Linked DNA regions of Drosophila melanogaster. The protein of the gene in region 1 binds, or shares a complex with, the protein of each later gene. Each region holds a gene or a part of one and is shown in the gene's direction. Other genes may lie near its edges.

The links. The genes of interacting proteins can lie anywhere in the genome.
Region 2: Iml1 (region 1) and Nup44A share a complex: the UniProt entries of both Drosophila melanogaster proteins name them as parts of the GATOR complex.
Region 3: Iml1 (region 1) and mio share a complex: the UniProt entries of both Drosophila melanogaster proteins name them as parts of the GATOR complex.

The regions. Positions count from the first base shown.
Region 1 is NT_037436.4:1,531,019-1,535,843, reverse strand, and holds the start of Iml1 (increased minichromosome loss 1), read left to right. Parts: upstream 1-1,809; 5' UTR 1,810-1,935; coding exon 1,936-1,987; intron 1,988-2,042; coding exon 2,043-2,350; intron 2,351-2,410; coding exon 2,411-2,899; intron 2,900-2,956; coding exon 2,957-3,561; intron 3,562-3,621; coding exon 3,622-3,793; intron 3,794-3,855; coding exon 3,856-4,264; intron 4,265-4,321; coding exon 4,322-4,453; intron 4,454-4,584; coding exon of another isoform or gene 4,585-4,825. Other genes in the region: CG12091 (uncharacterized protein), read left to right, coding at 1-248; Ir62a (ionotropic receptor 62a), read left to right, coding at 4,585-4,825. UniProt on the Drosophila melanogaster protein: An essential component of the GATOR subcomplex GATOR1 which functions as an inhibitor of the amino acid-sensing branch of the TORC1 signaling pathway.
Region 2 is NT_033778.4:7,986,596-7,991,799, forward strand, and holds Nup44A (nucleoporin at 44A), read left to right. Parts: upstream 1-1,866; 5' UTR 1,867-1,914; intron 1,915-1,936; exon of another isoform or gene 1,937-2,032; intron 2,033-2,920; exon of another isoform or gene 2,921-3,119; intron 3,120-3,236; 5' UTR 3,237-3,357; coding exon 3,358-3,468; intron 3,469-3,529; coding exon 3,530-3,967; intron 3,968-4,063; coding exon 4,064-4,272; intron 4,273-4,332; coding exon 4,333-4,639; 3' UTR 4,640-4,688; downstream 4,689-5,204. UniProt on the Drosophila melanogaster protein: Probable component of the nuclear pore complex (NPC). Involved in maintaining the localization of another nucleoporin Mgtor to the nuclear envelope of early meiotic female germline cells.
Region 3 is NT_033779.5:2,215,659-2,221,141, forward strand, and holds mio (missing oocyte), read left to right. Parts: upstream 1-1,631; 5' UTR 1,632-1,768; coding exon 1,769-1,886; intron 1,887-1,939; coding exon 1,940-2,113; intron 2,114-2,171; coding exon 2,172-2,423; intron 2,424-2,515; coding exon 2,516-3,446; intron 3,447-3,502; coding exon 3,503-4,058; intron 4,059-4,118; coding exon 4,119-4,600; intron 4,601-4,661; coding exon 4,662-4,752; 3' UTR 4,753-4,967; downstream 4,968-5,483. Other genes in the region: daed (daedalus), read right to left, coding at 1-567; CG15386 (uncharacterized protein), read right to left, coding at 917-1,150; CG42371 (uncharacterized protein), read right to left, coding at 1,168-1,301, 1,355-1,484. UniProt on the Drosophila melanogaster protein: An essential component of the GATOR subcomplex GATOR2 which functions as an activator of the amino acid-sensing branch of the mTORC1 signaling pathway.

The DNA.
Region 1 (4,825 bases):
CAACCGACGGAGTGTTCGACAACGTGCCCGAGGATCTAATGCTGCAGGTGCTTAGCGAGGTGGAGGGCGAACGCGATCCCGTCAAGCTCCAGATGACGGCCAACAGCCTGGCGCTGATGGCGCGCACCCTGTCCCTCAACAGCGAGTTCCTCTCGCCCTTCGCCCTCAGCGCCAGGAGGAATAACATTCAGGCGCGTGGCGGCAAGCCGGACGACATCACCGTTGTCCTGGCCACCGTGGCGATGTGAGAGTGGTGCTCCAGCCCATCCTCCCTAGTGATTAACGTTTACTTGTAGTCCGTACGTGTTTAGTTAGCTTTAGGAGCCAGTTTCGTGGTTCTGTCTACCGTTTAAGCTGCATGTTGAGATTGAGATTGTGATTGACGAGGACGACGACCCTTTGACCCTTTGCATTGTTAGTTACATATATACGAGCAAACTCATTTTCGAACCGACGAATCGACTTCGACGCATCCTGGTGAGCGACCCGCGCCTCGATTGTATACATAACCCTCGCTATAAGTAGAGAATGCGAATTATCTGCCCGATCTGGCGATCTCTGTCGTCAGTGGCGTTCTAATCACCACAAACAATAAACAAACAACCGATTGCGAAACAATCCCCGACGCCGAGGATCATAAATACGAGTCCGGGGTCCGGATGATGGAAGCTGGATGGATGGTGGACCCGGAATGGAGCGAGTCGAGTGCAGCTATCTGACTGAGGACGGAGGATTACCCATTTACGCGGGCGAACGAACTGTCTTTAAACAATTTTTGTCGAAATGTACTCACTGATATTTGCGACCCAATAAAATTTATTCAATGAAAAACAACGAATGCAGCTTGTAGTCACTTCGTGATAAATTCATTAAGCAAATAAATATGTGTAAACAATAAAGCTGTACGGAAAACTTAAATAGAACGTTCTAATTGCTTAGATTAACTCATGGTCAGAAAGATGGAAATTGATAGATTCAGGAGCGGACAAACTGATTAGCGTGGGGGTGTTTATTTTTAATGCGATGTAACAATCATTTTCCTCCAGAAGTATAGGTGAAATTACATTTTTAATTAAAAAGGTCTTATCTGAAAGAAATCGATTGCGCTTCTGTGACGCAGACTGACTACATATATAAGCATAAAGCTGCAAAAAATATATGCATTCTACAGATTATTATTATATTCGAATAGGAAAAATACCCAGAACTATTTTTAAAAATTTTATTCGAAAATATTGCGTTATTTCGGTGCAACCTTAATTATTTGTATCTAGAATAAAACGCGCTATGGTGGTGCTATTTTTTACGCAACTGTATATGTGTTAAATCGATAATATAAAAAAACATTTATTTTAATTAGTAAAGTTTTTCGCCAGTTTGTAAAATATGTTAACTTTTGGCTACACTTGTGGGTAAATTAAAAGGCTTCATAGATGCCAAAAAAATTTCAGTCAATAGCAACGCACCAAATCCCCGCTGAATTGGTAGGAGTCTAGTGACGAAAGCATCGGTTGCCCCTAACGTTCGGTAATTCAAATTTTGTGACGAATAATACAAATCACACAATAACATACATAACAGAAAAGCTTACGTAACTGAAATCATTATTTAATTTAATATATATGAAAATAATTAAGCTGACAGGGAATGCAGATTAAGTTAGTTTTTCAATAAAAGATAAAAGTGTTGAGCTACCTTGAAAAATATAAATAAACTGCGTGATTTAATTAATTACAATAACAATTAAAGGTAAACATTAAATTCGGTATATTTGTACAGGAAAATACCAAATAATCCATGCCTGCGGTCACTCTGCAGATAAGGAATCAAAACAAAAGACGAAAAAATAGAATTTTTATTTTACTAGCATGCAAATGGGCAAATGTTGGAATTGAGTAAATAATTGTCCGTTGGTTTTGCAACCACTAAGTCAACATGAAGCTGTACAAGCTGAACACGCATACGCGTGGCTGCAACAAATCCTACGGTAAGCGAAAGTGGATATTGCGCAAACATTACGTTACACGGAAATTTCGGCACAGATGCGGACTTGGTGATGAATCTAAAGGATCATCCCAACGCCAATGTGGGCGATGTGGTAGAAATTTACGCCCCCGACGAGGAGAACGGCACCCACCTGCTGCTCCAAATCACCGAGTTCAATGGCAGCTGTGGCCGGGATGTGATAAGCATAGAATCGGGCATCGCCAATGCCTTCAAAATGCGTCCGTACTCCAATGTGGTGATGCGCATAGTTAAGCCGGCGGATGTGGCCCTGGACTCGATAGAGATTACCTTCAAGGACCAGTACATGGGTCGCTCGGAAATGTGGCGCCTGAAGACCTACCTGGTAAGGAATCACGCAGTTTTCAGACCAGGATATACTTTTAACGTACCACTTCTCCCTCAGACGGACACCTGTGTGTATGTGAACAAGAAGATCGACTACAACGACATGCAGATTCGGTGCCAGGTGTACGAGATGTGGTCGCAAGGCGAGCGCGTGGCCAGCGGTGTCATCACGGAGGACACCAAGATTGTCTTCCGCAGCAGCACTTCGATGGTGTACCTCTTCCTGCAGATGTCCTCCGAGATGTGGGACTTTGACATCCACGGAGACCTGTACTTCGAAAAGGCAGTCAATGGGTTTCTCACTGAGCTCTTTCAAAAGTGGCGAAAATTGAGCTGTAACCACGAGGTGACCATCGTGCTGTTCTCCCGCACCTTCTACGCAGCCAAGAGCCTGGACGAGTTTCCCGAGCATATGCGCGACTGCCTGCAGCAGGACTACAAGGGTCGCTTCTACGAGGACTTTTACCGCGTGGCCATCCAGAATGAGCGCTGTGATGATTGGTGTACCGTTTTGGGCCAGCTCCGAAAGCTATTCACGTCCTACCAGGTCACTTAACCATGTTTTAATTTATTCTATTATAAAAACTTACTACGCCGTTTACAGGCCACTGTGCTGCGCTACCACGAACGGGAGAACATGAAGATTCCACCGGCCACCAATTCTTCAGCCACTCAGGGTAACTTTTTGGAGGTGCTAAACATATCGCTGAACACTTTCGAAAAGCATTACTTGGATAGAACGTTCGACCGCACCGGACAACTATCCGTGGTTATAACCCCAGGAGTGGGTGTCTTTTCCGTGGATCGAGAGCTAACCAATATCACGAAGCAGCGCATTATCGACAATGGCGTGGGTAGCGACCTGGTCTGTGTGGGCGAGCAGCCACTGCATGCGGTTCCGCTTCTCAAATTCCACAACAAAGACACCACGTTGACCTCCGCCGATGACTACTCTCTGCCCCACTGGATAAACTTGAGCTTTTACTCCACTAACAAGAAGATTGTGTACTCCAGTTTCATACCACGGATCAAGCTGCCTCTGTTTGGATCCCAGTTGACGCTCCACGATGGCGTTGGCGACGGGGAGGGCGAGGAGAACGAGCGTCACTTCCTGAGCTGCAATCAGTCGGAGTATAAGCACAACTCGCTCTTTGATTACGATGCGTATGATGAACAGATCTTCCAGCCGCTCCCCGCTCAGAGTACTTGGTAGTATTGTGCTACAAAATTACCTTTTTAGCTTTGTTGATCAAGGTTTTATTTTCTTAGCTCCCTGCAGCGTGTAGTGCGGGCTAAGAAGACATCGGTGCCCAGTTTAGAGACCTATGCCTATAGGAACAACGATTGGGAGAACCTCACGCCGACTCAAATCCCGGCTATGCGGCGCAAGATGTCCGATCCCGATATTCATCACGGCACCTCTGCAATGCTGGCTGCCTTGGTAAGGGAAATCTTAATACTGACTTTTTACCTGACTTTTGAACTGTTTTTATGTGACTTTAGCAACCGGATACAACCAACCTCTCCGAGTCACTGGCCTCGGAGAAGAACTCCCGCAGGACGATCGTTAGCATTGCGCCCATAGTGCGTCCGGGTCGCGCTCTGATCAATCCCTTTGATCCCTCGCAAGTGACAATAAAGCTGACCTCCAATCGCCGCCGCTGGACGCACATATTCCCGAAGGGCCCAACCGGTGTACTCATACAGCAGCATCATTATCAAGCGGTGCCCGCCAAACCCACGCAGGCTGGTCAGCAGAGACCATTGCAGCAGACGCAGAGCAACAACAACAACGACCAGGAGGATTACGGGTGCGAAAATGGAGAGCAGTACGACCGAGTGTCCAGCCATTCGCTGCTCAACAAGTCAGACTCCTCGCAGAGCTTTGTGATGGGTGATGAGCCCATTGATTGTGAGTAGCAGTAACTAAAGTTAAACCTCCTCGACTAGCATTGCTTTGTATACGCAGTCTTTAAGCGGCGTCAAAACTCGCCGATGAACCCCCAGCCCGCCAATGTGCCCAACCTGACGGCCACCCAGGCGAAGTCTTACCTCTGGGGAGCCACTGGGGAGCAAGAGTGGACACCAGCAATTACCACGGGTAAGTGTTAGGCAAACAGTTTTCAGGTTTTGTTTTAGAGATCGTATCGTGGGGCAAATAATTCGAGATGCACTTGAAGTACTCGGCGTACATGGAAATCCCAGTCAGTTTGGCATGGTTCACGAGCGAAAATGTATCTTCAGTTTTTGTTCGCGCTGTTTTTGTCGCGCTACCAAATCGTGGCCACCGAAAACTTTGACCGCGCTTTCGAGCTGGCTCTGTTTCTGGACAGGATCGGCCGCGTGCATCGCTTGCATGCCATCACTATAGTGAACAGCCTGGGATCTGTTGATCCCAGCTATCTGGACGATCTGCATCGCGGCCTGATGTGCAACAGCAGCAATCACTTCTACATGCTGCCGCAGATGACGG
Region 2 (5,204 bases), on another chromosome or scaffold:
AGGTCAATGATTTTGGCATTACAGTATACATGTGTGCACGTGTGTAAGTGTGCCAGCCAGGCGGCGGGCATTGAAAGACACGGAAAGTCGGATTGGACACCGGAATCGATCTCTGGCAACCAGCGGGGTGTTATGTAACCGCTTACTCGGAAATCGCGCAGAGAACTGGGACTTGGGTTACACTCTGCGCTGGAAACGACTCAACAGGTGTGGCCCGGTCCCGTACTCAAGTAGCTCCGTTAGTGCGCACCCTCGCAATGGATGGAGTCTTTTAATTGTGCTTTATTTACCACCGATCCTGTGATAAGAACTCTGCTGGCATTACTCAACAGTCGAAAACAAAAGAATCTTACTCGACGTGCGATTATCTCTAGGGCAGCACTTTTCGGGACCTTGGCTGGATATGATACGGTTGTGTTTTGGGTTTAGTTCGTCTTAGGATTTAGATCTACGGTTTCAGCTCGCTTTACCACTCTGCGTGTGCCCTTGTTTAGCTTGTGATGGCAGTTTCGAAGACGAGGTCGGACCGGATCGGATCGGATTGTAGTAGACCGTGTAGGATCGGTTTGAACTTCCTAGACTGACTGGTTCCGCACGATTTCTAGATGGCTACTGCAGTGACCGACGATTGGAACTCAACTGGGCCATGCTCGTCCGAAAAGCACTATCGATGCCTGAACGCCGCTTCTCCGAACGCGCAGCGGACGCCGACTTCGGCGTCGCCACTATCAATATCAACTATAGCTATAGCTTTGACTACGTCTACGGCCAGGTTTTCGTGCGCGGACCTGTGTTTGTGCGTGTTCAGGTTGTTGCGCTCGTATGTTAATCGCCAGCGGGTCTCGCGGGTCGCCAAGCCAATTGTTGTTGTTGTTGTTGTGTTATTGTTTTGCTTATTGCTGGCTCAGCCAGCGCCAAGTGACCAGGAGGAATATATGTGCACTATGTACTACATAAGAACTACATATGTACAAGGAGCGCCACTAATTCGAACAGAAAGGCGGTCGAATTAAGCGGGGCAACCTGCCGGATTAATAACAATTTTTATGAAGGTGGCTCAAGTAATGACGACCAGTGTGCTCCGTCGGTTTCAGTGATCTTTTTGTGAACCAATTATGCCATAACAATGTCCGAATAAATAAATGCTGGGTACAGTGGCACCAGAGAAATATTTAACAAAATCATTTCTTTATTGTCGTCAGTGATGAATAAGGTTTCTGTATATACCGATTCAACAAGTTCTGGAATAACTACAATGACATTTTGTTTTATATTGGATTTTTTGCGTAGTTTCCAAACTAAAAACTCATAAAAACTAACCATAAAAGCATGCCCTTCCAGCGGCAATCGCAATCAGCTTAACATCAGTGAGTTCCACTATAGGAAAGTTCCACTGTTGCACAGCAATTATACCTTAACGGTCTGCGGCTGATAAAAGATAAGAGCGACATGATGATGGCGATCAGCTGTTGCCAACAACCGTCTACCCCTCTCTGTCACTAGCAGTGCGTCCCGCTCTTTTCTCTTCCATGTATCTCTGTCTCATGGGCGGCGGTAGCTTTTCAATGTCAAGGTCGCCGATGGCATTCGGTACTGCTGTTGTTGTTGTTGCTGCTCCAGCTGGACTTAATCTGGGAGTTGACCCAACCGCTGACGGAAATGCACTCTGCTGCTGGGAGCAGCAAGCAGCAACAACAACGACCATAATTTCTCAATTTGCTGGCGTAAGTGGCAAGCGATGCTGATTAGGGTTAAATGGGCGAAAACGCCAGAAATTGATTAGCGCGATGCACTTGAATCGAATTATTATTAACGAATTCAGTGCGCTGCCACGAGCAGAACACGCGAACGCCGCTGATTTGTTTTCATTCCGTGATGCTCGCTGCTCCCGGCATCAGCAGAGGTTTTTTAAAAGTCATAAAAGAAATTCCCGACGCGACGCCCGCTTTAATCTCAGATAGGCGGCGAGTGCCTGAAAAATCTTCCGATTTCGGCATTGGCCTTGGCGACCGATTATGATTAATACTTAACGGTGACGGGTCTTCATGGTTTCGGCTCGGGCTCAATTCCAAATCTTTCCCGGCATCTTATCGCACGGAAATTTTTGTATTTCGGTGTTCGATTCTGTTCGAATTATTCATGTTTGGCGCGTGGCCAGAAAAAAACCGTCTACTGATATCACAGCCAAATAATAATAGAACCGAAAGTCGGTCGCGTGTGAAACGCCTGATTTCGATGTGCTTATCTCTAGGATTTCTACAGAGCAACAAACAACCGATTTGTGCGTGATAACACACTTGAAATCTTGTAGACACTGTAAAGTGCACGGTTTACAGTTAAATTGTTTTTTAATTTCTTAGCAAAATACTACGAATTTGTAGTGACTGCGTTGGATTGAATTTCCGATTCGAGTCCTTGTGATATGCTCATATTTCATAAATATACTTATATCGTATTTATGCAATACAATACCAACAAGAAATGCAGTCTCCAATTTAGTTCTTATTAGGTAATTGATGCCGGCCGACATACACACACGTTGGCAGCTATGCTGCTCTCTCGCCCATACACACACACACACATACGTCACGGGCATCGCGCGATGTGTAAAATCCAATAGGAATCAAGGTCAGCAGCGAGTGCGCGAGCGAGAGAGGGCGAGCAAGGCAAGACATATTGAGCATATTGCAGATGGAAGCAATTGGAATTTATGCTGCCCATTGCACTTTGATTGAAATCCGCACTTTAGCCAGCGAATTCAAATGCTAAACAAACGCGGGTCCCGATCTACATACGACTATGCTGTGGGGTTGTTCACCCCACTCATTTGCATACACATATGCGCATACATTTCGCTCGGATCGTATCGTATAGGATCGGGCCGTAATTACCCGTTTAGTGCTTAGATTACCGCACTTACTCTTCTCCATCGCACTGCGCTTCGCACGTTTCTTTCGGTTGGCAATTTTGTTGTGTGTAACTGTTCTTTTCCGGGTGCAAAACGGCCTCTTGGCGGCTATTGGAGTCCTGACTCTCCGACTAGTGTGGTTCTCGCGAATCCCGGATGGGCGTGTGGCACGGCTGATACGTTATCAGCTTGTGATCGACTAGAGTACTGTGTTTTGTTATTTTTCGCTCGATTTTTTATTCGTATTTCACGCGTAATTCGGACCACTAACTCGGTGTGACCGTTCGCCTGGGCGTACTGAAAAAATACTGAGCAAGGTAAACAACAGCTGTTCGGCGGCTGTTTGCAAGCCAACCCTGTCTCTCCTTGTAGGGCTGCATTACCGGCGCAGATTTTTCGGCGCGTGCATTTTATAAACAACATTTCGGTAAATAAGTTGAGTTTTTATCATGTTCGACGTGGAACCCATTATTGCCGACCACAAGGATGTGATACACGACGTGGTCTTCGACTACTACGGCCGCAGGATGGCAACCTGTTCCAGCGATCAGACCGTCAAGGTGAGGACTCGAATTATTCCTACGATAAACAGCCTAGGTGATCCGGATTTTCTGCTTGCAGATTTGGGACGAGGATGGGCAGGGCAAGTGGAATGTCACGAGCAGCTGGAAAGCGCACTCCGGCTCCATTTGGCGCGTTTCCTGGGCGCACCCGGAATTTGGCCAGGTTGTGGCCACATGCTCATTTGATCGCACCGCCTCCGTTTGGGAGGAGGTGATTGGCGAAAAGGTATCCTCCACCAATACCCCCACTCGCCGCTGGGTGCGCCGCACCACCCTTGTAGACTCGCGGACCAGTGTCACGGATGTGGAGTTTGCACCCAAGTACCTGGGACTCCTGCTGGCCACCGCCTCCGCCGACGGCATTATTCGCATCTATGAGGCCCCGGACATTATGAACCTCTCGCAGTGGCCCGTGCAGCACGAGATTAGCAACAAATTGCCGCTGAGCTGTTTGTCCTGGAACACTTCCACTTACATGGTCACCCAGCTGCTGGCGGTGAGTATATTTAAATTCCAAGTCTTAGTCTATTAAGGATTAATTCTATTATCTGTGGAGTAAGAATAAGCCTAATTTTCATAAATTATTTTGCAGGCGGGCAGCGACGAGGCAGCCACGCCTACTGGCAAGGTCTTCTTATTCGCCTACAGCGAGAATTCCCGAAAGTGCGTTAAAATCGATACTGTCAATGATATAACCGATCCGGTCACGGATGTGGCCTTTGCTCCAAATGCCGGACGCACCTTTCACATGCTGGCAGTGGCCAGCAAGGATCTTTATATTGTGAACTTGCGGGGTGTAACGTAAGATCGACAATTTAAAGACCCAAAATCATTTAATAATAATAATTTTTATAATTAAAGGGACGCCACGGACATCTCCAAGTTGGACATCCAGACCATTAAGTTTAGCGAGCACAATTGCCCAGTGTGGCGCGTCTGTTGGAATATGCTGGCCACGATGCTGATCTCCACGGGCGACGACGGTTGTGTGCGTCTGTGGCGAATGAACTACAACCGGCAGTGGCGCTGTGCCGCCGTCTTGAAGGCAGAGGGCAGCGGACCCACCTACGAGCCTGCTCCGCCCACTCCGACACTGGCCACTACCGCCTCGGCCACGGCCAAGTTCTACAAAAAGGGCACCATCGGCAACCAGGTGCCGTGGCACTGATCTTGTTCTTAATTGTAAGAGTTCCGAATAAATTCCTAAGTTAAACCTCAGCCGCTTGCCTTTCAATATGAGTGGTTTTCTTTAGTTATGTTTAGAGTTCACGGTATTAATGTTAATGTTATTAATGAAGTGAACTATCAATGGGTTTACGCATTATTCAATCGTTTTAAAGATTCCGTGGAACGATAATTTTCTAGAAAAATATTTTTGATTAAACTTTATCTTGGTGCCACCATGAACCAAACTTATATCACTGTGCGGAATAGTCCACGTAGTGTTCGTCGCGCACCAGAAGACACAACGAATCTTAGTAGTCCCGAATCATGAATCAATAAATCTACTCGGTTATTGTCGGATTGTACGTTTTGCTATAAAGTTGGAATCGCATCATTTGCGTAATTCGTGGATACTTCCCATACGAAATGGGTCTAAACGAATATTCGGAAGGCCTGTGTGTTTTGATACCACCACTTACATCTCGGATTAGAAGCCGGCATTCTTGCGAATCCAATGAATAGCTTTCTGGTCCACATTTCCCCAGTTCAGTGTTCCTCAGATCGCTTTT
Region 3 (5,483 bases), on another chromosome or scaffold:
TCGTTTGTCGCCCACCACGACGTCCTCGGGAGTGGAGACCTGCAGCTTGTAGTTGGTGGCCGCTAAAGAAGCGCGCAGGGACATAAAGTGGTTGCCAGCATTGCCCAGAATCTGATTGTTGTAGTTTTCGGCTTCAGGATGGTTGCAAATGTATTCGTAACTGGGATTCTGGTTGGGAATCTTTTCGAACATCTCCAGGAGCTGTTGCCGTTGCTTTCGACACTTGAACCCGAAGAGTTCCAAATCTTCGTCGGTGAGAGAGGCCAAATCCAGATAGTTAATGTTCTCGGCAATAAGTTTGTCCACACAGGTGCTGGCGTAGTCCGTTTCCACGCTGGTAGAGCACAGTAGACCGTTGAGGATCTCCCTCTCCCGGCGTGTGTCCCTGTGAGCCTTTTGGCGAACCCAAGGACGTCGATTGTAGCCCAGGAAAGCACTGTCCAATTCCTTCTGCTCGGTGTGCGAGTGAAAGTTCTTTGTGGCCTCAAACTGAATGGTCGGCGGAACCTTGGCCATCGCCACCAAGGGGACATCCCCCGCGGACATTGTGTGCGTCTTCGTTGCCATAAACTCTGTCAATAATGGCAATTAAATTACCATTAAAATGCAATTGCGCTTAGATTAGATTCGCTGTTAAGAATCGGACGTTTACGAGCACTGCGAGTAGGGGTGGTCAAGATTCCTAACAGATTATGTTAAAAGTAACAGAAGTAGTAAGGGCTCTGTAAACATTTAAAACGTGAATATTAACAATTTAGTAATTTTATTTCCTTTTTCCTATTTCGCATTCTTGTACGAATCGAATTTTCTTCTAATGAATCACCCTACCCAACCAATTAAGATTAAATGCTTAACATTTGTATTTAAAAAGTATAACAAATTGATAAATTGATGACGATTAAGCTTCCTAACTATCCTATTTCTCGGACGATGACCTGTAGATTGGGGCACTGGTGGTGGACGCCTCCTGGAGCTTCTTCATAAACAGAGCCTTTCGCTGCTCATCCGCACTCAGTTTGGTACTTGAAACGGAGGCTTTGATGCGCTCTAACTTGTCGACGTTCGGCTCGGTTAACACCATTAGGCCGTACCCCATTCCTCCGAAGCCAATCAGCCACAAAACGGACTTAAAGTAGGGATTACTAAGCATTTTGGAAGCGGTCTCCTCTAGTCGCTTTTCTTCAAAGCACTCCAATAACTCGCATCCGCCTGTCGCACTGTGCTGTCTCCGACGATTTCACCAATTTTGTAGTAATAGTCCAAAACGAAGGGATAGTTCTCGTGAATATGCTGACGAAACTCTAGGAGCGGATTGTTATTAACGATCAAAATAATTATATAAATATCCTCCCACCTCGATTCGTGTTCATGCGATAATAAACGCCGTAGCTGGCTGCGAAGCAGACTGCCTCGAGGACAAACAGTGTTTTGGCACTTCCTTTGATGAATTTCCAAATTGCAGGTTTTGGTGTTTTGCGCAGCATTTTAAGTGGGAGTTGTAAATATTAAACACGTTTGCTTTCTTACAAAAAAAAAAGGAAAACAAAATCACCTACCAGCTTATCGATAAAACGAATTATCGAACTGGGCCAGTGCTGGCTAACATGCGGCCAACAGCTGGTCGACCGGCTAGTGTGTGTGCGCCTCTTCTTCTTGCCATGTAGTGCAGTGTTTATCTCACGTTTTTGTTTTTGCAAACTGATAACGCGACGCAATTTAGTCTGTAGTGAAAATTGTTTTTTTTTACATCGATGGAAAATCGGCCACGATGAGCGGCAATACACACGGACTCAGCTGGTTTCCACATTTTCCCGACAAATTCGTATCCTGGGGCCAGGAAATCCATTTATACGAAGTGCGCCGCAAAGATGATCACAGCCAAAAAAGTAGGGTTTTCCCCAAGGGATTATGCCACTTTACTTAACCGCCCCCCTTGCAGGTCGCCTGCCTTATATATCCGTGAACTACCTCGCCAACGAGTCGCGCTATCAATATGCCCGCTGCGTGGCCGCCTCCTACCACAGTGACCAGCCCATAATTGCAGTGGGTCTGGCGGATGGCAAAGTCGGGATTTGCAACTTCCGGGACACCTACGACAGCAGCTGGGAGTACAGTGGGTGGACGACAACGCCGATTCTTAGCTGCATCTAATAGTTCTTCATTTCTCGTAGCACCGCGTCAGCAGCGCATGTGCACCTGCCTCGCCTGGAACGAGCTGGATGCCAATATCCTGGCCATTGGACACGATCGCCATCGAAATGACACCTGCATCACCATCTGGGACATTGAGCGTGGAGTTCCCAAGGAGACGGCCAACTTCTTCGGCGTCGGCGAGTCGGCCAACTCCATTTGCTGGGATCGAAATCATCGCACGGTCATTGCGGGAATGAGCCAGAAGATGATAAAGCTGTTCGATCTGAGGCGTGAGTACACATAATGCGACTGGTTATATTTCAACTACGTAGTATTACTTTATTGCCCTTTCACTGATGAAATCTTTAAATCCCTTTCGCAGAGAGTAACGCCACCTGTCAAAGCATTCAAACAAAGACAGTGCAGGGACTTTCCGTATCCCCCAATGGCAACTATCTCTGCAGCTATGTGGACTCGGTGATCACTCTGTGGGATCCGCGAAATATCAAGAGTCCCCTCAGGCAGATTCAGTCCTCGAAAAACCATTTGCAGATCGCTTGGTGTCCGACCAGGACAAGCCTGCTTTCCTCGCTGCAACGCGATTCCTCCTACATCACTCTCTACGACATCCGGAGTGTGGACACGGACAATTCCGGAGAGATCTACCACGTAAAACGACAGATTAGCCCCTTTCCGGCTAGATACCAGCACAGTGGAAAGTTTTCGTTTGTTAATTGCCTGTCGTGGCATTCGAGGGATTTCGAGAGAGCTCTGCTTTTGGCAGATGCGCTGAACATCCTGGACTTTCGACTGCCAGCCACCTTGCACACGGCGCACAGCAATCGCCGGAAATTGCCACTTCTGATGCAGCGTCCGCTCTACACACCCGCCTCGCCGACTTCCACTGCGGCCACGCCCACTCAGCAGCAGCCCACGAGCAGCTGCAGCACGAATAGCGGGAGTTCCCTGGACTTTAGCACTCCTGGTGGTTCGCCCTTCAATGTGGACCTGCTGAAACCGGAACTCTTTGAGCTGGATCTGGTGGACGAGACGCGTCAGCGCGCTCTAGAGGATTACGGCATCAAACCCGATAACAAGCGATTCGGCGAACTCCACTTGACACCGTATCTGCGAAATGTGTGGTCCACTTTGAACAATGTCTACAGCGAGGATCGACTGACGGGCTTAAAGGCCACTTTGGGCATTAACTTGGGACACACCTCGGAGGCCTTGATGGCCAGCTCCCGCATTGAATCTCAGGTGCTCCAGTGGCCAGAGGGCATCAACAACTCCAACAAACTGATATGCTACAGGTAAGTTTATATGAATTTGTGGTTTGACGAGTGTGATAACCCCAATCTTTATGCAGGAGTGAGCAGCGCGACCTGGCCCTCCAACTTTGCGGTTGGGCCTTTGAGCAGGAGCTGGATCGCTTTATAGACCAGTTGTATGCAAACAAGGAGTACAGCCGGGCAGCCATGATCTGCGTGTTCCACTTGAAAATTTTCCATGCCTGCAACATCCTATCGTCGGCGGCGGACAACATGAGGGATCCCAGCATGTACAGGATCACCGTCATCGCCTTGTCCAGTTTCAATGCAGATCGCTGCAGTTCCACGTGGCGGAATCAGCGATCCAGCGCCAACATGCAGATACACGATCCACACTTAAGGGCTGTCTTCTCCTTTCTAACGATGGAGAAGGACAATTTTGATGCAGTGCTCAAAGAGGAAGGCGTTTCGTTATCAGACCGCATGGCCTTCGCCTGCAAATATCTATCGGAGACCAAGCTGGCTGACTATGTTGCGCAGCAAATCCAGGCGGCCATAGATGGTGGCGATCTAAATGGCTTGTTGCTCACTGGAGAGTCGCAGGACGGAATCGATATACTGCAGTCCTATATGGACACCAGCTTCGATGTGCAGGTGAGCGTGCGCTATAAAAACATATGTAGAAACTTTGATATACATTGAGCTGTTTCTTAGACGGTAGCCCTGGTGGCCATTAACTACTTCCGGCAAGAGCTTTTCGAGGACAAGCGCATCCAGTACTGGATCGCCAGCTACTTGGATCACCTCAATAGCTGGGGCTTGTGGGAGAAGCGGGCCGAGCTGGACATCAAGATCGAGAGCATCCGCCCATCCTCCCGCAGTTCCCGCACCGTATTTCTGTCGTGCAACTTTTGCGGCAAGTCTGTGTCCAACGCCTTGCTGGACGAGCCGCGTCCACGGAGCACCACCACCAGCACCAACAGGCTCTCCTCATGCCCCAGCTGCCGGAAACCCCTGCCCCGCTGCTCGCTCTGCCTAATGCACATGGGCACAATGGTGAACATGAGCAATGGGGAGACCCCGACCACCACGCCCGACGTGCCCGGCTGGCAGACCAAGCCCTTCTCAAAGTGGTTTTCCTGGTGTCAGACCTGTCGCCACGGCGGACACACCGAGCACATCATGCAGTGGTTCAAGTGAGTTCAAAGTTACCAATATTTAATTGAATTCTGACCAATGTACGCGTTTATTTGCCAGGCAAAATTCAGAGTGCCCCGTGTCGTCGTGCAACTGCCGCTGCTTCGACATGGACGGCACCAAGCCGAACACATTGAGAGACATTTCCTAGCTGTCCGGAGCACCCACCATACACAGCCCTTACTCGCCCAGGCCATATGCATATGCATTAAGTTGTTGATTTGTTCCAAACGCGTGCGCCTTAAACAAACTCAGAAGTGTTCATTGTACTTAGACAAGGGATGTGCCCGTAGCATTAGTGTTTATGACCTACCAGCTTTTAGCTGCTCAATTGCATTTTATACTTACATTCAAATAAAGGACTATGTGCGACAAATTACTATAGATATTTCTCAGCTTTTCTTTTGAAAGTTGAAACCGTTATAGTTTCGTGTTTTGCAACACTTTCAGGTAGTACTTATTAGCATTCTTGTTGGAACTGATAACGGTCACACCGCTTCGCACGTTTTTATGCGGCGTTATTATTTTTTGTTGCTTTCTGACGTAAATGTGCAGAAAAAGTGCTTCCACTCGTAGGGCTTAAGTGAATGGTTAATAACATTATGTGATAACGCCTGAACAAACAAATCAAGATATAGTGAATAGATTAAACCAAAAGACAGTGCCGATACACAAGATATAATATAAAGACGGTAAGTTGTGGGTGGGGGTACAAATTTCCATAAAGCATGTGAGTGCTACGGAATTTGAGCACAGCACTTTAACTGGCAGTTAAGATTAAATATTTGTACATGATAGCTTTGAAAATAGCGATATTTAGTTACTTGACCTTTTCAACTCATTCGTGTCTACACCTGAGGCTTTTGTCCAATCTGAGTGCCC